Styela clava: one gene and its partners. The protein of the gene in region 1 purifies or fractionates together with the protein of each later gene. This does not show direct contact. Links are inferred from orthologs where the notes say so. Each region holds a gene or a part of one and is shown in the gene's direction. Other genes may lie near its edges.

Region 1 (7,962 bases):
AAATGAAGATTACGAAACAGGCTATGTGGGAATTTCATACCTCGTATATATAATCTGAGGTTTTACTGCCTAAGCTGATTGAAACCTCCTTTATGATAATATTTTCACGCTACCGAGAGATTGGAAATACATTTTTGTCGACGCTTGTTAACGCATTTCTAAAGAGTGCTCCCTCAAAGGGTTAAAATTGACATTCCAGGACGATTGTAAGAAAATTTCATAGACCAGTAAGTATCGTAAACTCATACACCTAAATAATGCAGATGGATATATGAATCTATTAGCCTTTTTAACGGTAAACCTATTTGTCTCTAAATTCACATTACGAGAAAAATAAATGCTGTGAACACGACTCTTTAACAAGATCCCGTTGTCATTGTATAATCATTAAATTTCTTTATGACGCGAAATCCAATAACTTTTGTTTGGCGTAGTTAAGTGAATGTGTTACGCGGTTTTGATCGAATAATGGGGAAAATAAATTATTTCGGACCGTCGCTCAATGAAGAGCGTAGTTATGATGTCTTCATTGTTAAAATGCTTTCGTTATCTCTTCAGACATTGGTGCTTTGGGTTACCGCCTAACCCGAAATTATTTGCCTAGCGCAAGCTCTTTTGTGGTGCTTCTTTGTTGGCATATTTTGCCATTTCCTCTTCCGCGTGCTCAGTATGAACCGTCATATTAAATGAAATATTATACTTCGATATCCCATTTCATGCTTGGGCCATATTATGTTCTGTATAATGTCTGTCAAGTTATTATTGTAAATGTTTGTCTATGCATAACTGTCACCGCTGTATCAAATAGTATGTTAGCTCTGTACAGTATGATAATGCTCTGTTTTAATATTTGTTAACATATATGCGCATGAATGTCTGTCTTTTTACTTCGAATAAAGTGTAGAAAATAAGTTCCCAAAGTGAAATCTATTAATGATCGTCTGATAAAACACCAGATCAAGTCGTTTTACATTATGAATTCTGCAAATTTGCGCACATTGATCAGTGTTATTGTACCAGATTCAACGTAAAGTATCTCACAACAATGCATATTCGTATGTGGAACGAAGAGTCGATTCTAACATTCTGTGCCCTGTACCTCCATATTTACTCGTAGATTTCAGTCTGTCAACTCCAAACTATCTGTTCTTCACTGTTGGTATGTCTTGATAATAATGCCGGAAATTGCAATAATAATGCAATAAAATTTACCATGTTTTAGTTCGTTTTTCTAGCTGTTTTATCAATCATTATAGACATCATTTTATGGAATAATTCGTTGCAAACTGAGAATTTCATTTTGTATAAAACCACGAAGGGTATTTATTTTATGTTTAATGACTTTATCATCATCACGAAATCATTATTTTTATTAACCGTTACACAAACGGACATAGTGTTTTGCGAAATTGACCTTATGAAAATTCTAGATTATCAAACTATTTCGATATGGACACCTTGAACTAGCACGTGGGTTTTATATCTACCTGAACTAAAGTTTATTGATTTTAACGAAATTGTAAAACAGTTCTATGCTTCAAATCATATTTTCATTATATGTCGCATGATGCTACTATTCTACATTTCCCTATATGACTCATTTGTATCTATATTCATATATATATATATCCACCAGTTTTGAATACATCTCGTATTACTGTGCATTTATGGGAACTATTCTGAACATTTGTCGTTAAAATGACACACATTGCAAATAGCAACTCGAACGTAAATATATAACAAATAATGAAAATTGGTATAAAACAGTGTTTGTTCAACGTTTTGTTGGGTTTAGGTCAGTCCGTGTACAAAACCAATAAAGGGCATGTTCATATGTTTACGCTTTATTTTATTTTAACGATCGAATTCAGGTTACAGCACCAATCATTAACTGAGATGGATAAAAACAAGAGAGCAATGCTCCTAGACATAGACACCACTGTCAAATAACTACATCAAAGAGCTTAACTTTTATTGGAAAATTACTCAATTTTCAACAACGTACTCACACCCCTAATCGCTTCGCAAAAAAAAAATGTTGTGCCTCTCGTCAAGTGGTTATATGGATCTTTTTTTTTATCATTCCATCATCTTGTTGTTCTTGTTTCATATATCCGAATATCGGGGCAATCTTAGGACCTCTAAAGTGGGAGGTTTTTTTATCGCGAACTGTGTACTGCGGTACCTGATCTGGTAACACGAAATGACTCGGATCAGCGCCTATTTCAATTCACGTTGAAACTGAATCATGGAGAATGGATCATCGTCACAGGATCTGGAAAAGCTATGACAGTCCCTGTACCGTTACCCTGATACAGTTACCGCATATGATTTTTGGGGAATTGGTGATAAAATATTTAGTTCTACATTCAGTGTTCACGTATTTGAGCATAGCTCCCTTGTTATCAAATCGAAGATTATACAATTTTTTTTAATGCAAATACACACTCTGCCTTTGTTATGTATCAGTTGCTATAGATATGAAACTATTAAAGAAGCTGCTACACCAACCAGAGGATCTGAACTTACCGAGGATTTGATCTTTACAGATTGTTGTACGTCAACTACAGTTGATGATGGAATTGGTCCCCTCTCTCTCTCTCCAATGTCTGAAAGTTTTACAGATGGAAACATGTTTTTAACTCAAGCTTTAAAACTTAACTCACATGAATTCAGAAACAAATGGAAGTCTTCCGACCATAGCGTCACAAGTCAGGAATTTGTGCCAGTTCCATTGACATTGACAACCATTATAAATTTGATGGATTAGGATATTTTAGCAGCCTGCCAAATAGTCTTAAAACATTAAAAATAAATATGAGGGATTTATTGCATCATTTATGCTTCTATGAACAGATATAGATGACGCAGACTGAACTAGTCATATATATCGTTGCAAACGATTAATTCACTAATATATATCACATATATTTTGAATATAGAAACACTGGGGTTTCATAGATGTGATATGCTGTAGTTCAATACTTTATACTTATATAAACAAACAGTTATTTTTTATTATGTTCTGTGTTTACTACATTTCATGCAATGTTTTCAAAAAACTTCACTTACAACTTGGAAATCTAAGTTAATTGTCGAGAATATTAAAAATCAACAAATATGAATAAGTGTTCTATTTTAATTATATCTTCATACATTCCAGATTTTATGTGATTATTTAGTTTTCCAATGCCAAATTTTGAGTAAAGTAATTCCGTAAAGTCCATTGCTATTACAAGTGAGGAATGGACAATTATTCATACATGCAGACACACAATTTTTTTTAAAAGATATTCTTGCTGTCATTGTTTACTTTGGTATTAAGACTCGAACCTCTTTCTTCTTTTTGATATTTTCCCAAGTTGTGATGATATATATTATTATAAGATAATTAATTAAAGTATATTCAATCAATTTTTATTGTACTAAAATAAATTTTACTCCATGAGATTTTATAGAAGACTTAGAGATTTTTCTAACGGTTTTATTTTTAAAATAATCTGAGTATAATAATATTTATCAAAATTCAAAACTAGATATATATAACCGGGCAGTTTACCACACATTTTCATGTCCGCGGATTGCCGTGGTATTTTAGAGTAATCATACTTCCATTTTGTCGACGCAATCGCAGGTTAAATTGAAGGCAATGTCCCTGTCGGTTATGGATTGATTACTTTGCACAACAGAAAAATCATAATTATCCGTCGAAAAAGTCGTTCCGCGGGGATTTCGAGGCGATGAATATGTATTTTTGATATACTGATATACTTTATATGTATTTAATTGTACTCTATGGGATTTTCTCACAGATCTTGAGATTTTTTTAACGGCGATAAAGAATTCGCAAAAATAAGTATCAAAACTAAATACAATAATAATCCGCGTAATCGCGGAGAATGTTTCAAAAGGGAATGGGAATTTCCGTTTTTTTTAATCCTTCCAGGACAATTAAAGTAAGGCAATATCAGATTGAATTGGTCATTATCAACTTAAGTGTTTTAAAAGTATAACAGCCCGAAAGTTCAATACATTTGTGTATTTTTCTTACCCAAGCCTGGTTTTATAGGGAGAAAGAGATGAGATGGATTTTGGGGATATTGACTATCACCCTATATATTTAAGTTCGATTCCCGCGTTATTGTTTTGACACGCGTTATGGAATATGACTCCAATCTGGACTCCTTCAGACGATAATAAGCGCACAGTGTTGATGCTAATCGTTGTTGTATATTATAGGAAGATGCACAATCCAAATTCCGAAACAGATAAAATTGAGACACACTTAACTCTTAACACAGTAAATCAGGAGTGAATCAAAACACATCACACTTAACGCAATAAAACAGAAGTGAATCAGAACACATCACACGTAACGCAATAAAACAGAAGTGAATCCAAACACATCACACCTAACGCAGTAAAACAGAAGTGGATCAAAACACATCACACCTAACGAAGTAAAAACAGAAGTGGATCAAAACACATCACACCTAACGCAGTAAAAACAGAAGTGAATCCAAACACAATATTATGCAGCCCTCTCGGCAAGCCGGGACGATACGTCATCAAATTGGTCGATACGAGAAAGGCAGTACATGTAATCAGTACTCAGTGTTGCTACAATAAATGACCTATTGTGGGAAACGGAACACACTATTAAAATGAAAGGGTTAAATACATTATAATTCATAGTTACACAATGCACATTCGCTACAGTTTAATTAACCAGGTTTGTGTTTATAAAGGTTTTGCCCATTTTGCAGAATTCTCCATTTTTTGATTATGGAATTTTCAAATCAAACTCTTTTATTTATTCAACGTTGTCGGTAATCACCAAGGCCGAGCACATAGTAAACTAAACAGGCAATGGACACTACGCAACAGAAAGTAAGCAGGAATTAAGAAATGGCGATTTTTCTCGTAAACATACAAACAAGATTAAGGACGGGAATTTAGCAAAACAGTGTGTGTGTGTGTCGGCAGCATAAATGTATGGTAATTTATGGGTAACTATTCAAAACTTTTCGATTACCGAACAAAAGCAGGTTAGGGACACGCTTGCCACCGCACTGATTACCCCGCGTGGTTCGCATGTTCGAATATCGTGTGGGACAATGCTGACTCTCTGTGGTGAAAGAACCGCTGGATTCCTCGCCGTCACATAAACGCTTGTCGGTTACAGCATTCTCCACCATCGGTTCCATGCATCTGAAAAAAATATAGTCTGCTATCTAACTAATCCCATTCACGACGTGGAATGGTAACCGGATGAGAGATTTTGACGTTAATATTGTCAACTCGTGACTCCATACACTCCTTCGTACCAGAAAATGATGGGGAATCACCTGTATTTGTCAAAGACGCTTCCTCAATAAGCCAATGAACGAAATAGTGTCAGAAGTTCTCAGAACAAACCATTAATTCAAAATATTCGTTTGATGTTGCATATATACTGTCATTATGGCATCATTTTGTACAAATTCCACCAATTAACTGTATTTTTAATTCACTATATTATGATATGATATACTGTGTAGACAGACGTATTTATCATGCTGTAGCTTTCAAATTGTCCTAAAGGCTAATTTTGCATTTCGAGCAAGATTGATTCTATAGTCATAGTGTACTTTCAGCGATTCCTTTGGGACTTTTCCATCAGTGCTTTAGATCTGTATTGCTGTTGGTGAACTTTGAAAATTTGCCATTTCCTGATTTCTGTATTTACATATTTAAGTGTGTAATTTCTGTTGCACATTCTATTTTACATTGCTAATTGAACACTCATACATGGAATTGAAATACAATGTTGCGTAGGGTTTCTTATTCTGGTACTGTTTTCGAAATTGAAAAATAATATTGTTAAGAATCTGAACATCATGTTTTTAATGATGTGCTGTATGCAGTGCATATACAAATGTGTTTTTTAATTGACAAGTAAGCCTACATTCGGCAATGGTGAATAATTCTTTGTGTTTATGATTCAGTGATTACTTGATTAGTTTACTGATTAGTAATATACTGAATATAAGTTCTGTCCCACCAAATGTTTACTCAATACTCTTCTGTTCAAAATCATGGATGAAAGTTGGTGTGATTCATGTTTAATATGTGGCCAGAGATATTTTTCTGAAGATGAAATGACAAAGCACATTGAATTGGATCATGCAACTTGCAATAGGGAAAATGATATTGACAAATCAAAATGTCCATTTTGTACATACGTGGTTTCCAATAAAGATGAAAACAAGATGGAAACCCATGTAATGGATGTTCACAAGGAGGAAATGCGTACACCAAAGAAAGGTATCCACTTTAATTTATTAAAGCAAAATCTGAAGGTGCGAAAGGTCTGATCATTAGTTTGATTTATTTATTAACATACTCTTTGAATATCAAATGTAAATTCTGGTTAAGTTACCTAAACAGAGTATGAAGTTTCTCAAACTGGGTCCTAAGCCTCCCCTAGTGATCCATGAATTGGTTTTCTGGAGGACATGACTAAAGGTACTATTAGCAGTGACTACATTTATTCACAGTAAATTGACAGAGATTTGCCTAAATTGTTGATTGTAATAGGATTTTTCTTACTTTAGTTGGCCTTTCATTATTGAATGTGTTGCATAAACTAACTAACAGAAACGCATAAGAAGCAAAAATATGTCTTTTTTGAAAAGATCAGGGGGCCACAAGTGTTAAAGATACATTGAATGGCGGCCACAGATCATAAAAGCTCGAAAAACACTGGCGTAATCATTCATAGGCCTATCAATAATTACTGAAAGCCCCTTAGTCAGGATATTAGATAATTAAAGCTTAAATATAGTATAGTGTTACAAAATCCTATCTGTTGCAGATGAGTGTGGAGCATCATCAGGGAGTGAGGTTAATGGAGAATGTAGTAACAATGTTGATTCATCTCAATCAGAAGTATTAAGTTGTCCTGTTTGTCAATTAACTGGATTTGACAATGTTGACAAACTAACTTTTCATACAGAGTCTCATTTTATTGACAATGAACAGGGACATATGTCAGTAAAATCTGATTACACACAAGATGAGCTGTTGGCTATAAGTATGATTTGTATATTAAGTTACTATATTGCAAAGAATTCAATGTATCAAAGTTATCTCGCCTATTTGAAAAGTTGTTTATGTAGTAACTAATAAGTAAATTTTTAAGATGCGTCTACAGATAAAATTCTCTGCTATAATTTATTTCTGGCTCACAAAGTTTCTTATATGTATCTTCACTTCTTATTACTGCTTGGTTTGCTAGTCTGGGTCCTGGCCAACCTAGGTTCAGATGCAATGATTGCGGTATTAGATGTTAAATTTATGAAGTATGTTTTTTCCTAATCTAATGGATTCCTATGTTCATGTCTTTTCTTCTCTGGTGTGAAGCATCTCATAAAAATTATTTAGTCCCGAATCACACAAACTTTAACAAAAACTCATTTAAATAAGATCAATAGTATAGCGACTGTCATCACTCTTGCTCAAATGGGCTTACTCCAAATGAGTTTACTCCGATCTACATTTTTGTTTTGTGCTATCAAAATAAACCTCATTGTAACACCACTTCTACACTTTGATACTCTAATAATATATCTCCATTCTAGAGTTACAAGAGCAAGAAAGATTCGAACTACAAGCCAGTCGAGACGTTGCGGAAAACTTATATTTTGAAGAATTAAGGAGTAAATATGGAATGGGCAAAGAACACCAAAGGACTGGTTTCCGGAATCAAGCGTTTAAAAATATGGATAAACAAGTTGGAAGAGCATCATCATCATGTTTTGATTATTACAGGTAGATATGGTCATGAGAATCATGAGTGTATATGTTTACTGTTTGATCAAAACTATAAACTCCTGTCAAATATAATTTTGCTTTAAAAGTAAATGATTTAGCTCGCTCAAAATCGTATGATGAGGTTAAATACCAATATTCAGGAGTATT
Region 2 (7,987 bases), on another chromosome or scaffold:
CGGTTCGTAATATGGTTGAGCCGTCTTGTCGGCTTTCCTCTCCCCCGGGATGAATATGTAAATCCTATCCCATTCTAACAGGGCGAGAGGCCGCAGTTCGTCATATGATTAAGTCAATTTATCGGTCTTCCTTTCCCCGAGATGAATATGTAAATCCTATCTTTTTTTGCACGTGCAATCAATGACATTAAGCAACATGATGCGCAACTACGGCATTTTTGGCCGAAGATCGTATCCGATAGCACGCTCCAATGCACATACTTGACGAGACGAAAACGAGCGGATGTGTGCTGCTTTCAAGGCATAGCACGAATGGTGTTCGTGCCGGCTTTGACAGTTGTTGTCGATTTTAATGATATTTTGGAAAGTTGAGGTAAAAGGAAATCGGAAAAAGGTAAGGTAAATACTATTGTTGTATATCACACCCGGGCATCGCACTGTTAAGTACATAAGGGAAAGCCAGCTTTTGTCAAATACTACGAAGTTATTAATTCAGTACGGTACGTAGTTGCCCATTTGCCGAAATTGCATATTTACTTACCCCGTATGGTTTCAAATAGTTCATGCACCTCCATTTAGATTTTTTTTAATCAGTGAGGATTGAATCAAAGGGTTAACAATTTCACCTAACATTTCACTCATACCGGTCTGTATTGTATAGTCTGATCTCTCAAGTATATGGAGCCACGAATGCTTGTAATTTTCTGACTAATTTCCTGTATTAGTTGGTTTATATACCAAATTCAGTAAAACATTTTTTACATTAAACATGAGATATTGGATTTATTAGCTTTTCCATTCTAAATCATATAGACTGCTTCATTTATTCTTGACGAAAATTAATAAATCTCCTCTCTTTCTTTTCTTCAGATGTGAATGTGGACAAACCTGTCTAAGCATTGTGAGACTCCTGCAGCACAAGAGGCAATAGCAAAAATAGTAAGTATATCAATCAAGAAATAAAGCCGACATAAAGCAAAAGTTTCAACAAATCGTCTAATCTCAATTTCCTATTATTTATCCACAGGACAACTATAGCAGAAAAGGAGATATCAGAAGTCTGGTGACATATCAGTGACCGTGTGATTGCAAGAAGTATATTTAGAGTACTCCATAAATGTTTGCAATACAAGAACAACCTATAAAGGCATGCAAAGACATTTGACCCTCCGATAGAGTTGTGTATGCCCCCCACATCCTGCAGGGCTTAAGGAACATAACAAAAAATTCTAAAGCGTGAGTATGCATAATAGATTTTTCAAACCTTTTAAAGTGAAATTGATTATTCACACAGAAAACAATTTACTGAAAGTAGTTTTGGAAAATTAATTTTTTTTGTTCACATTTTGACCCAATTAAGAATACACATCAAGCTAGCAAAAGAATACTTGAATAAAACACTTGAGTGATTAAATTAAACGCAAAGTACATGAAGAAGGTGGCATTTTCAAAGAAAATGAGAGTTGCAATATTTCTGCATTTCACAAAATTCTGAAGCACATTGAACAGAAAATTTTCATGTGTTTGTATATTAATATAATTATACAACGACTTAGTTACTAAAATCAATATCAATAATAATTCAAGCAATCCAATGCCACGCAATGTGGTGCGAAATGTCTTGTCGAAAAAATCTGTCATGTGTTTTTTTACTGATCTCTACATGAAATTATAAAAATAACTTTTTTGCATTACTGGAATTAATTTTCGCAAAGATCCAAATTAGCCCATGATCATGTGACCTCGTTAGTTAGAGTTGGTACTATAAAATCATTTCAGCCTGGCCTCAGTATGCTGGTGACACAAAAAAAGATACCAAACGTCAGGACAAATGTAATTAAAAAATCATTGAGTTTATACTGTAGTATTTTTGTTAATTTTAGGTCCATATATTTAAATTAAGTAATTTTTAAAGTATGTATTATTCTTTCCTTATCCAAAGTTTGTTCAAAATGATTTTGATGGATGTACATAGAATTTTATGATTTTTTGTAATAAATACAGTAACTTGCAATAATAGTGGAATGCAAATATTAATATGTAATTGCATTTGAAATTAAAGAAAATAATGAAACTTAATCCAACTGTTTAGTTGCATCACAACATATGTCACAAACTAAAACTATCTTAAAAATATCTTTCAAGTATACATTATCAAAAACTGTTTGCGGCCCTTTTTACAATTTCCAAAATGCAATGCGGCTCTCGAAAACCCATGAGTTTGACACCACTGATCCATTCTAGACGATTCAAGCATTGCTTTGGGAAATAATATCAATTCAATTAAATTGAAAAAAATCTTGCTATATTAAATACAAAATCGTTGCTATCATAAAGGTAAACTAATTCAGCCACTCGAAATATATTGGCCTTCACAAAGTAATGGAGGCAAAATTGAGAGTTCATGAGCTATGAATTTTTGTTCTTTTCTTTGTCTTGAACTTTTCATACTCCACAGCCGCTATTATTTTTTTTTAATTTTAAATACCATGTGATTGTCATACATATCTTTAACTTTTTACTCACATGTCTGTATGTGGAGAGTGATGAATACAGTTCGTTTTCTAAGGATCTCGTTGCCTCTTTACTTTGGTTGTGCAGTTACTAGAAGCTGGGAGATTGCGCATAATTCTTCAAGGTGGGGGCGGATGCAAATAGGACTCCACTACAACAACGTTGAGTGGATTGGAATTCACGTTTCAACTTTACAATAGATAAAAACGAAAAATAAAAGTAACTGATTATAGAATCGGGAAATCTCAAGTAAGTTTTGAAGCGTGCCAATTTTAGATGGAAAGGTATTGATAAAAGAAATAGTACGTGTTCGCTCACCCAAAAGTAAAAAAAGTAATTAAGGCACGCACGCACACACACGCACACAATCATCGAGACATGATAAGGTCGGAAGTGAAAAAAGCGAGAATTAAAATCAATCAAATTACTCAGTAAAAAGAAAAATATACAAACAAATGAAAAAGAAGTAAGTAAACTCTTTTACCACATCAAATTAATAATTTTATGAGGGTTGCCAAATTGGATACCGAATTAGCCAACATGAATAATATACTGTGGATAGAAAAGTATTCCTCGTCAAGCTGATTATAATTGGAGTCACTTAATGCGAAATTGCCCCATTAGTATTGCCAAGTTGGATATATGAAGAAGTGGGCTATACCTGCTTCACTGACCAAATAGAAGCCAAAACTAGCCAAATTAGCGTCCAAATAATTTTAAATACTAATAATCAATGACAGTACAGGTAATTATAAGTAAAATTAATTAGGGCGTGATTATGTTTGTATTTCAAGTTAATCGATTAAATATTTTTTTTTTCAATATGTATTAGAATTGATATTTGATTTACTTTATGTCCCACCAATGATCTAATCAAAATATTTTTTATAAAATAAAAAAAAAGTCAGTTGGTACTTGCTACTTGGTACATCTATTTTTACGCGTGGGAATTTTCTTCTTTGACTGAGATCAGAGGTATCTCTGCCTATTGCATCTGCACGGCGTAACGTTAAAAGGAATGCATTAACACGAGGTTTCAGGGATTACCGGTTTAACTTTCATTTTCTTTCTCGTAGTCTACACCTAACCTATATACCGTATCGTTATCAGTAATACTGATGCTCCGGTGACCAGCGATTTTGCATCAGTATATCTCATTCGACAGCGCAAGTCTAAAAAAGTATGATGAAATTAAAACCGGAACGTTTAGATTTTTATGCCAGAACTACGTCATTTCAAAATAGATTTTATTTCGATTCATTCGCAAAAACAAATTAAACATATGTTCAGGAAAGATTGAAGGCAAAGAAGCTGGGAAGTGAATAACACTAATAAAATAAGTTTAAACCCTATTAGGCGCGTTCACTCACCGACATGGCGGACTGAAGAAGAAAGCAAGAAGTCATACAGTCATAGGCTGAACATGAATATTGACGGAGGCCATTACTCAGGCGTTTCACTTTGTAGTCAGGTTGCCTGCAAGTTTTTTTATAAACAAAACTGTGAACTAAAAACCAGCTGTGTGTGTAATGTCAGAACTGCAGTATGTGGCATTTACACAAAAAATTCTAAAATGAGGTTTGAATGCATGTTGTCGTTCCATTACAGGACTACTAATTGACTTCCAAGTTATGATCAATTTGCATTATTAGGCTTCCCGCTGCTTGTCATGATTAATGGACATGTTCCGGATACGATATGTCAAGGATACGCATGAGTGACCTCGGCGATACGCTCCAGTGAGCACTATAGGATTTTACATTTTCATCTTCTTCTCGAGAACGACACTACTTAGAGACTTGAAATTTACATCACATGCAGATAATAAGTCCCCCATCATAAATTGCAAATTTTATGTATGACTGACCACGCTTTCACGCTCCAGTGAACAAAACGCGTTTTCAGTTTTTTTGCGATTTCTCAAAATTGATACATGCTATTGGGTTGAAATTCATAACAATGATTAATGGACATGTTCCGCATACGACATATCAAGGATACGCATGAGTAACCTCGGCGATACGCTCCAGTGAGCAATATAGGATTTTCATCTTCTTCTCGAGAACGACACTACTGAGAGACTTGAAATTTACATCACATGCATATAATAAGTCCCCCATCATAAATTGCAAATTTTATGCATGACTGACCACGCTTTCACGCTCCAGTGAGAAAAACGCGTCTTCAGTTTTTTTTACGCGGGAAGTCTGTAAAAGCTGCACGCAGCTCTAGTTTACAAATAATATTCCCGCGAATTTTATATTCTTTTGTTCATGTATGCTGTTTAAGACTTTATTCTTGTGATGTGTTCTTCCATTCATGAAAATGTGGGTTAATCGGCACTAGCGCTGGTTCCATCTCATTTTCGTAGAATTCTAATTTTTATTTCTTGAAGATGGAAGTAGTTGACTGAATAAATGTTCTGAATTACTATAATTTTCAATCACAAATTTTTATGTCACAGCTCATACGCTTCAGTATAGTGATATACATAAAAACGTATATAGACCTACGATTTTTACAAAGTACAAAAGGATCAAGTGGTGTGGTAATTTGCTCACACATGTCGAAGTCCAGCATCCACTTTATTGTTCAGAAGTCACCTGCTAATGAAGAACAATTTCAAGAGAAGTAATATGGAATTTCTCTATTTTATAAAGTTGTTTTAGCCTTTACTTAGAATGGTATTTCATATTTATCCTGTCATATAGAAATATAGTAAAGAGTAAAGACGGCTCAATCATATGTTAATCATGTCACACCCTTTGGTTACCTATGTTGGGTATGGGAGTAGCTGAGAATTTTTTGCTTCAGATGCATGGACTTGATGGTCGAGGATGATGTTACTGCCCAGTTGTTACATGAAGTGCTAAGAATACAGCAAGCCTCTTGCACATAATTATTCCCCCAGTGGATTTGAATCCATGTTGCTTAATGGTGCAAAGGCAAGTATGTTCTAAGCACACGCAACCTCTGTGTAATTGAATCGGTTTTAAATAGCTCATCAGATAGTGCAAAATTAGTGTGTTCTATATTAAATTGTTGTTTTGTCGGTAATTAGAATCAGTATGTTGTATGATACTTGAATGTGTGTTCTGTAATTTTTTCATTAACTTGTAAATAACGATAGAAAACTTGTTTTCCAGGTTACAGGCTCTCAGTGAAAAGAGAAGTTTCTATGCACCGTCCATCGAGGATGTACCACCAGTCCTACAAGAACTTCAACAATATGAGATAAGGTTTGCCCTGACCAAATATTATCTATGTCTAATATGTTTCATGTATTCAACTCACTTATCTGTGATAGTAACCAGTAATTTGATAGTTTCGGCCAGGCGTAGCTAACGTCTTTTGCTGGATGGCTCAACACTGTATTTTCATCATGAAAAAGAGGAATATGGGTCATAGATTCATCCACAGTCTGCATCAATGAGGAACTTGCTGTTTCGTTCCACAAGTCTTAATAATCCTAAATAACTCTTAATGAAGCGATTTTTGCTACTTGACTATTTAAAATTCATGTGGGAAAACAATAATTAATGTGAATCGAAAAGCATTAATAACGTCAAGAGTTGAATTACTTTGTTACGTCGTGAATATCGTTATTGTTGGTAGTAACTGCATACCCAATAATATATATGCCACTCATTTGTCTCTTACACTCTAAACAAGTCTCTGTACAAGCCGCCACTGATATCTTGTTTTATATATTTTTATTATCAGGCAATGTGTGGTTTCATCGAAGCATATTGCTTTTCTTCTCGAGGATGGAAGAGTCTGTCGGGTAAAATATTTTGCCCACGATCCACAAGAAGAACCTGAAATTGAAGCAACTACTACCACAGCTACATCTGGTGCGAGTAAATCAACATCTACAAGTAAAACAGGTGAGATATCAGTTTATCTGTTTATGGTATAATATTTTGATAATTTCACATACTATAATAAATCATATGGAAAGAATAACTTTCACTTTCATATAAGTGTAGCAAACTGAAGAATAGTTGATCAAACCTTTTCAACTTTTGAACTTTCAAGCATTTATAGAGTCTGATTCAAAATTCTTAATTTGTTTGTATTGCGGACTTTCAATGGTGATAAAGTGAAACAAAACTTAAAAAGCATTAATTTCTATTAAAGAAAGCACATATATGCGAATGTTGTTTTTTTTAATTTGATTTTCAAAGTCGAAATTCTTCAGAATTCTGGATCTGAATCAGATTGATAATATTTCTCAACTCTGCGTTATTAGAGCTAAAGCTTTGTTCAATCCTGACCCAAAAGTTGAAGTCGATTGTAAATTTTCTCCGACTCCACAGTTCTGGTTGTTAGACTTATGTTTTGAATTCAACACAGAATGTGTTGGTGTCATTGTAATTAAATAACTTAATATTTCATCTTTAATAATTTGTCCTTCGTATATTCAATTTTAGGAGAGAGACCACCGAAACTTCCTCGAACAGGTAGCACACCATGGATAATATCAGGCACTGATTTATCCAGTGGCCATTCATCTGCTCTACGAAGATGGGGAACACATATTGGGGTGATTCGTTCGATCGCGTCTTCTTCTGCCACCACCAATTCATCATCAGTAACATCAGCGAGCACAACAACTGCTCGACATCGAGCAAGAAACAGCGGCTCAGATGCAGCGTCTTCTCTAAGCGCAAGCGGAGTGAGACTTGTAAGAACTTCTCAGGTAAGAGTGAATTCATTGTGAGGTTGAATTTTGATTAAAAATTTTGTGTACAGTGCTTTTCGATATCTTGCTCAAAACAAGCATTTTTTGGAAGGACTGAAATTTGTCTATTTGTCTGATCAGGCATTGTACACTTGATTCATTATTGAGCATTGTATTTGTACTTAAGTGTGTAACCTGCGATGTCAACACACTTAAGTCGTTGCTCCAGAAGTATGTGTGTACCAAACTACCAATATGGAGGTTACTAATTTTGTTCGCCTACTTTACATCAAGTTATGTAAAGGGACTGAAACCTATGGGCAGGGGGTATATTCACTTGGATAACACAGACAATCCCTGAACTTGTAATAGAACTAAAATACGGAAAATCGGAACAAAATTATGGCCTAACCCTAACCTGGTACACACACTACAGCAGTACCCTTAAGTCTAATGGTTTAATGCCAAGTGTTCTGAGTTGTGCACCTTAATCCATATGAAAAGTTGATTTGACTCTTGACAGTACATAACAATTTTTGTATCAGTATGGAATTAGTTACTATCAATGTTTGGATGCCTATACTTGATTTGGATTACCAAATTAATAGAATTCTTAAATTGAAATAAAAAACATAAATATAATTCTCAATTTTGCTGATTTTGCGAACAATGTTCTATAAAACACAGGTTTACTTGGGGAATACCACAAAGCAAATGTTTTTATAAAAAACTATCATAAAAATTTTGTTACAAGTGGGAACATTTGCAGGTAAAATGAGTTACGTAAGC
Region 3 (7,812 bases), on another chromosome or scaffold:
GCAATGCTCAAATATATGGACACGGAATCTAAAACGCCGTATTACAGGTATGCAATCTGTGACAGAAGACTACCAGTACCAGCCGTTACGATGCCAAAAAACGGGGAAAGACAACCATCGTAATGCCATAAAAACGTGTTACAATAACTAAAAATTACACAGCGCATTTTAAATGAAATATCAGATCTCACAGAAAATGTAGGAACAAAAAATAGCCTTTTGTTTGCTAGAGATTTTACTGGATTGGTTACCGTACTCTCATTTTTAGCATCTTGTAAGAGCTTCTTTGTTTTCACATACTTCGTGCTCAAACAATTCCAGTAGTAACACGGCAGGTAAATGCTAGTTCAAAAGTCTGTAATTGTGAACTTGGTATACCATACAGTAGTCTGAATAAAACCCCTCTACTGCCCCATGATGTACGCGGCAGAAGCAAATTTTTCAAGATATTCTTCAGTAGTAGGCTTTGTATTTCAATCAATGTACAGCAACTTTGGTGATTAGGTTGTAAGAACTCAAGCATGAAGGTCTTCTTCAGCTGTAAGTGTTCAAATTGTGAACAACTGAAACAAAAAGTTATATACTCAGAATTCAGATACTTACTCTGTAATTGTTTGGGATCACAGTTTTTATCTAGGCATACCGGTAGTCTGGTAGTGTTATTACTTATTGAAAACTCAACGAATCTTACCTAATAGCTTTAAAAAAGAATAGCTACTCTTCTTGTAGCATACAGTACTTTATGAGCTAACTGTATCTATATTATTTAAGGTATTGATCCCTTTTATGTATTCACATATGTAGGCCTACGATACATCGTACATGTGTACGTTATTTTTACAAAATATACTACCATAACGCATCTGAAAACAATATTTTTATGAATTTAGAAACAAAACACCATTACATTGCGTTTTATACACAAGAAACATTGCAAGTCAGCCTTGGCGGGTTAACGTCCAGAGCAAAAAATCGCAAACGTCACCCCTTTTTGCACCGGCGAATGCGGAAATTGCAACAGGTCAAAGGTTATGAATATCCCTAATAGTAATAACGCGTATTTTTTTTACGCTATGAGTCTTTTCGGCTCCGTATCTTGTTACTTGAGTGTTCACCTATAACAGGGATGGCGAACCACTGACCCGCGGGTCACAAAGTGACCCACCGCGTTTCATTCGTGACCCGCCAAGGCACGAATAAAATAAAATAAATGCTAACATATCAGTGATAAAAATTGATAAAACCGGCCTTAAATTAATCTAACAATCAATTTTATAATGTACCGTCAGTTGCGCAGTCAGGGCCGCGATCGCTCATATTCAAATTGGTGATTATTCGGGTCGGTATGATAATTTTCAAAACCCTTAATCTTGGACGCATGTCTGCACCGCTGTGTACCGTTATTCAGCTATTGACTCTGACATCGTTTATGACATAACAATGCAGCCGACAGGTTCATTCGTCGCTACGTCTTGTCTCTTTAGGTCACAGTGTTTCCCAACCCGAGTCCGCGGTCTCAAATGAGTCCGCGAAGCGTTTGAATGAGTCCGCAACGAGTCAGAAATTCACTAAGGGCCGCAACATTTTTGTGAAATTTAACCATCAGTCAAGTTACGTTAGAATTTACATAAAACATAAAAATCAAGTTTATTCACATAACATTAATCGAGTCAATAATTACTGGTTACTGAGTAGGGCTGGGCATATATTCGAATATTCAACTATTAGAATAGCAATTTACTATTCGAAAATTTGGTAACAGGTGACGCAACAGGTCACTTGCGCGTCGCTTAATCAACGATTGGATTTCACAACTCACTTGCGGATATCCGACGAAAACACGAGTCGGCACACTCGTGGATAGATACCTAAGTGGTGTTTCTCGCGAGCTCGAACAACGAGAAATAATTTTTTTCTTCGTAGTTGTCAATGGTGGCGACCTAAATTCAAAAGCGCAATACAAAATACTAAAAATAGAAGAACGGAGTACATCTTAGGTTCTGTTTTATGATGACCCGCGGCCGATTAAAAACGCGTTTTAAGACATAGCAAATTCGGGTGCTACCTTGCCGTGGCATTTTGAAGAAGAAATGCTTTCATTTTGTCATAGGTCGACGCAACCGCGAGTGACTACGAACACAATTAAATTAAAATAGAAAGACGTTTTAAATTCTCGTTGTTGTCATGGATTGAATATTGTGCGACAGAAAAGGCCATTTATACGCTAAAAAGTCGACTCTTTTAACAAACGCGTATTGCAGCGAATTTCCGATTTTGAAATTCGTTAAAATTCTGTTATGTTTGGTACTTCTTCACACAGAGTACGTCTGCAATAAACGCACGTTGAGTCCGCAAAAGTTTTCGCCGGTGAGAAAATAGTCCGCGACCAAAAAAGATTGGGAAACGCTGCTTTAGGAAGTGCATCTACAGACTGTTTTAGGAGTTATGCGAGAACTAGATGCTACTTTGTATCTTATTAATTTCTTGCATACGATGCCGTTAAGAGAACAAAATCTTTCAGACTTGAAATAAAAACCTAAAAATCTGAAACAACAATGGGGCAGTGTAAAAGTGACTTAATGTGGTTGAAAGCTGATCGAAAAATATAACACTATCAGAGTGGAATTTCCTCCAAATTTTTTGGAACCGTAAAATAATTTGCCGCATTATCCTAAACATTTTTGGTAATTCATATGCGTGTTTTCGTACTTTAAGTTCATAAAATCGAGTGCCATGAAAAGTCCCTGATAGAAGTGCTGCATAAGTAAAGCCCAAAACTACGCCAACACCAACAGAAGCAGAAGCTTATAAGATTTGTTTCAGAAGTTTCTTATATATACAATCATTGATCAAATATCTGTGACCCACTCTCTTCTGTTCCGCGATAAAAATATAATTTTTGACCCATTCATTGAAAAAGGTTCGCCATCCCTGACCTATAACTTCCCTCAGATATCAGTCTTCATTATTTAAAAGTGAGTAGGTGTGATCTTACCATAAGCAAATAATTATGTGCGAGAGGGTTGCTGGACTCCTAGCCGTAGGGTGGTTCACGTAATCGCTGGTCGGTTACGGCTTCCCCTACCACCAAGTCCATACATCTGAAAACTAATAACTGGCTAACTAATCTCATACCCGACATGGACTGGTAACCCAGCCGTGGTTCGCCATATGATTGAGCCGACCAATGGAGGATTCATTCTCACCCTGGATAAATATGTAAATCCTGACCCAACTTACCGGTAATAATCCGGTAAACTTTCGAATCCGGCACCTCTTGTGCTTTAGCGGGAAATCTTGTAAACACAGCAATGGTTCATCACGCTGCACTGTCTGTTGTCTGACGTCTGTTGTAGTCACTTTGACTGTACCGTACTTCTGACAAAATTTTTGAACGGCCATATCTTGGCTAAAACGCGCCGTATATTGCTAATTTTAATTATTATAGGTTGCGCTGTTATATCTACATCTATTCTCATCTTTTTTAATGTTGCATAATTATTTTTTTGGTAAAAAAACGGAAATTTTGCCGAAAATTGCCTGCCCGGCATTCAACGGCGCATAGCGTCGCTCCTACTGAAGCTATCATCGTCAAAATACCATCATTCGGTAGAGGGCGACAACAATGTATATAATTTATTTAAGTGATCGCAGGATGTCGTACGAAATTCAAATAAAACCTAAAATTCTGAATTATAAATTCCGTAAGAATATTAAGATTTCACGCAGCGTCAAAAATTACGTCAACCTCACGTAGATTATTTTTCGCTCACTTCCGACACGACGTCACACTGCGTCACGGAAATGAATTTTGACGCCAGACACAACGGAGCCAATATGACAATTTCCGTTAAGATAAAGACGGCGTTCCAATGTAATATTTTTGTATTTTGTTCGGTCATGTATGAATATATGCCAAAATTACATTAATAAAAATACATGTCACACTTAATCGATGACGTTAAAATCGGACATACAAAACTATGATAATTCCAACGTCCATATGGCACAGTGCACTGACTTAACCATTATTTTATGATTAGTAGTCGAAATGACAGTTATTGAATACTGCCTGGCTGAATTTTATTCACTCGAAATTAAAAATAAATTTATCTCCAACAAATAAACGGGACCTACATGTTTACAAGATTAAGTTGAATTTTAAATTAAACTTTACAATCGAATTTACCGTGTGTTTGATATAAATTATCATTTATAAAGATAACCGCGCACGATAAAAAAAAACTATCCGTCGAGAATATTAATACTTCAAAGACTTCGATAGAAGCCCGTTAAAATACTTCATTGCGGATTGAAACGATTTGCATCAGATATATTTACGTATGCATTTCCTGATTAAAATGACTAACGTGTTATTATACTCATCTGAAGTATCGAAAATAACGAACGAAAGATGTAAACATAGGACGACGGAAGTTTCAAATAATGCATTTTCGTCGTGACATCAATGTTACGTTACGACGACGATCGAGCGTCTTATCTTCACGCAACGACGTGATTACGCCATCCGCATCGGAAGCCTCTTTCTCTCTGTGCGTCGCGGTTACGCAGTGAAGAAAATGACTGTCCGAAGTTAGGGCAGTGAAGGATAACGGTCAGATGGCAAGAAATATCGATTATTTCAATAGTAAAAATAGTCCAATTGAACCGAAATTTGCAAGGAATGTAAATTACCGCACGAATGTTTTACCGAGTAATTTTGGCACCTTTTGGACAATAAATGGCCAAGTTATTGACGAAAATATAGTAATTTTGTCCGAAGTTAGGCGCTTTTACGGTACCGGTACTACTGTACTAGCTCTAATTTTAACTTCGATACAACTAGAAGGGCTGTTCACAAATTCATAGGATTTACCGGTACATACAGAGGCTACCATATTTAGTTTTTACCAGTGCTGCAGTGAGTGAGACAAGAATAAATTATCTGTCCACGATCAGATATGGAAGAAGCATTTGCCGGACCTAGGCCACGTCTGAATGCATCATTGCTACCAAAATACACAGAAAAATATGTCACTGTAGTTGGGACTGTCGATGCTGGAAAGGTAACTACAGTCTGACAGTACCTTTGTGTATTTCTGTATATCAATACCGGTACCGGTACTGATGATATAATTAATGTAATTCAGTATTTTTTTTTCAAATAGGCCTACTGAAATACCAAGATATGTTTTGAGTTGTATAATTTAAGAATTTCACACTGGATGGATGTAGAAATGTTGACTGAATCCTCTAGAACAGTGTTTTTCAACCTTTTTCGAGCCAAGGCACACTTTTTTCGGTGAGAAAATCCCGCGGCACACCACCAGCTGAAAATATGGCGAAAATACCTACCCGTAATATTCACAATATAAGTGTTATATTGTAAATATAAGATTTTTAACATTGAAGAAAGATGTTGAATTGGACATCTTGAATAGTAATCAAATAAAAACAAAGACAAAAAAAATCGCCACCAGATGCTGCCACGGTCTGATATAGAACAGTACCACACGATTACTCTGCCGGACGCTACACCGCACAGACACACAACTTGGAGAAATTCCCACGGCACCCCTGACAATATTTAACGGCACACCGGTGTGCCGCGGCACCCCGGTTGAAAGACACTGCTCTAGAATTACCGTAAAGAAATTCTGGATTTTCATTTATTTCTCTAATTCATGAAATACAGAAGTAGGCTTAAATCTGTAAAGTGATGCACTCAACAAATACTGTAAAAACTAAAATCAGACAATATCAATACCACAGCATGTAAACACATTTCCACAATTTTAACCTAATTTTATAGCTGCATGTATTCACTGGTTTCTGGGTTTTGATTAGGGTGTTGTTACTCTGACATAGCCTACTAGTAATTTTCATTGGTTCCTAACACTGTAACAGTCTGATCTAGTATATTACCGTGCTGAAATAGCAGACCTCCAGATAGCATGGTTTGAAGTCCTAAACTTCTGCTCCGCAATTTTTGAATTATTCTTTGCCAATGGCATAGCAAGATTATCAAAACCCAGAAACCTTTGTTTTTTTGTGTAATTCCTTATTCTGCTATTGGGTATCATCCGTTACGAACAACCACTATTATAAAATTTTCTGATTTCTGGATATAATACAATTTAGCAATTAACTCTTAATTATTGGGCTAAATAGTTTGTATTATAAATACTGTCGAGTTCAATGGTCGAAACGATGTAAAATATGAATACATTTACTCTTATGTGGTTTATTTATTTCAGATATCCCCAGATGGAAATTCATTTGTATTGAAAGATGGTGCAGGAGAAAATATTCAAGTTGTCTTAGATTCACCGGTAAGAAGTATTGACCAATCATATCACTGGTTTTCCTTTTCACACACTTTGAAATCGAGAACTACTTTATGCACCCCCATCTAGAAGTCAGGGAAATAATATTGTGATCATATGAAAATAGCAAAACAATAATATTCCCCTTTTTCAATATTTGTGACACTAAAATGCTGTATCACTAAAATTAGATTTAGATATATTTGCAAACATAATGTTTTGATTAAGGTAAAGCATAAGTATTTATAGTGTATCAGTTAAAGTGTTTAGGCTCAGTGACTTCTTTTGAAGTTACTCCAACAATGATATCCGTTTATAAGCTGTTTTTTTTAAGCAAACTCAACAATTAAAAATTTTGGCACATCTGGTTAATATTATGTATGTTACTTGTTTCTTGAGATATGTCCCAAAGATAAAACTAATCGAGCATTTTACACAGAGTTCTTTACTAACTAATTGTAGATTTAATTAACGCTAATTGTCGAAAATCAACGATTAGTTTCATCTATTTTATTTACAATTACTTGAAATTCAGTTTCACAAATGTATCTATTCTATGTTTTTAAAATTGCATTTTCAATTCCAAAATTTTGGCAAAACTAACTGACAAGTCATTATCGATATTCTCTTACTATTATACAGCTGGCTGATATTATTGAAGGTGTCGTTGAAGTCACTGGAAAAGTTGACAGCAAGTGTAACGTACATGGGGTGATGTATCGCGTGTTTGACTCTGAAGGAAAATTTAGTAAGTTGATATTCAGAGAGTACCAACATGTTCTAATGTTGTTTCGGAGCCTAAAATTTGAAATAATTATTTTTGCCAAAATAAAATCTTGACGAGCATAAACATATAAAAATAGTATGCGATTTGTCCAAAACCAATTTGTCCAATTTATTACATTGTTGTAATTGTTCCAGATTGTTACCCACACAAGAACTTGGCCCCAAGAAAATCTTGATATCCAGATTGGGGTGCTATGTGAAAATATTTTTTGAAACGTTTCGAACACTAATTTAAAAAATGGGTGGGCGAACTTCTGAATCAAAAATATCATTTTCTGTTTTTTTATAGCATAATCCTATAGCTTCAATCAACTGTTTTCTTACAGACATGGAACTCTACAACACTTGTGTGAAACTAATTCATGATTTCCCACAGTACTATGGGCAGAAAGCATCATGAAAGCCTATGTTTATTAACATTTCGTCAGTGTCAAAGGACGTCTCCATTCGATGTTATTTACAACCGGCTGCAATTGTATCCACTTAATGTTGAAATTGATCGCATTTTCTTCATTATTTCTTTCAGTTATAGGGTCATTTTCTATCCTATTTTTTTTATTTTAGCATTCGTTGCATGTGTTTTTTTTGTATATGAAGTTCTTTCTGATTTAAGGATTAAAAGAAACATGTCATGCCTGAAACTTTGTTTCATGTAGTCACGTTAATAACAGATTTGCGTAAGTCGTTTTAATCATAGATA

What was found. The genes of interacting proteins can lie anywhere in the genome.
Region 2: the proteins of zinc finger-containing ubiquitin peptidase 1-like (region 1) and E3 ubiquitin-protein ligase UBR5-like purify together in Homo sapiens (affinity purification with mass spectrometry, with the first as the bait; 3 studies listed by BioGRID). This does not show direct contact. The link is inferred for Styela clava from reciprocal best matches to the Homo sapiens genes ZUP1 and UBR5.
Region 3: the proteins of zinc finger-containing ubiquitin peptidase 1-like (region 1) and replication protein A 14 kDa subunit-like purify together in Homo sapiens (affinity purification with western blotting; 3 studies listed by BioGRID, with this or other methods). This does not show direct contact. The link is inferred for Styela clava from reciprocal best matches to the Homo sapiens genes ZUP1 and RPA3.

The regions. Positions count from the first base shown.
Region 1 is NC_135251.1:18,599,715-18,607,676, forward strand, and holds the start of zinc finger-containing ubiquitin peptidase 1-like, read left to right. Parts: upstream 1-4,953; 5' UTR 4,954-6,077; coding exon 6,078-6,306; intron 6,307-6,856; coding exon 6,857-7,075; intron 7,076-7,622; coding exon 7,623-7,812; intron 7,813-7,962. UniProt on the Homo sapiens protein: Deubiquitinase with endodeubiquitinase activity that specifically interacts with and cleaves 'Lys-63'-linked long polyubiquitin chains. Shows only weak activity against 'Lys-11' and 'Lys-48'-linked chains.
Region 2 is NC_135263.1:5,825,763-5,833,749, forward strand, and holds the start of E3 ubiquitin-protein ligase UBR5-like, read left to right. Parts: upstream 1-4,982; 5' UTR 4,983-5,077; coding exon 5,078-5,145; intron 5,146-5,660; coding exon 5,661-5,753; intron 5,754-6,237; coding exon 6,238-6,401; intron 6,402-6,947; coding exon 6,948-7,216; intron 7,217-7,987. UniProt on the Homo sapiens protein: E3 ubiquitin-protein ligase involved in different protein quality control pathways in the cytoplasm and nucleus. Mainly acts as a ubiquitin chain elongator that extends pre-ubiquitinated substrates.
Region 3 is NC_135261.1:16,318,853-16,326,664, forward strand, and holds replication protein A 14 kDa subunit-like, read left to right. Parts: upstream 1-4,807; 5' UTR 4,808-4,961; coding exon 4,962-5,066; intron 5,067-6,257; coding exon 6,258-6,332; intron 6,333-6,968; coding exon 6,969-7,074; intron 7,075-7,438; coding exon 7,439-7,512; 3' UTR 7,513-7,753; downstream 7,754-7,812. UniProt on the Homo sapiens protein: As part of the heterotrimeric replication protein A complex (RPA/RP-A), binds and stabilizes single-stranded DNA intermediates that form during DNA replication or upon DNA stress.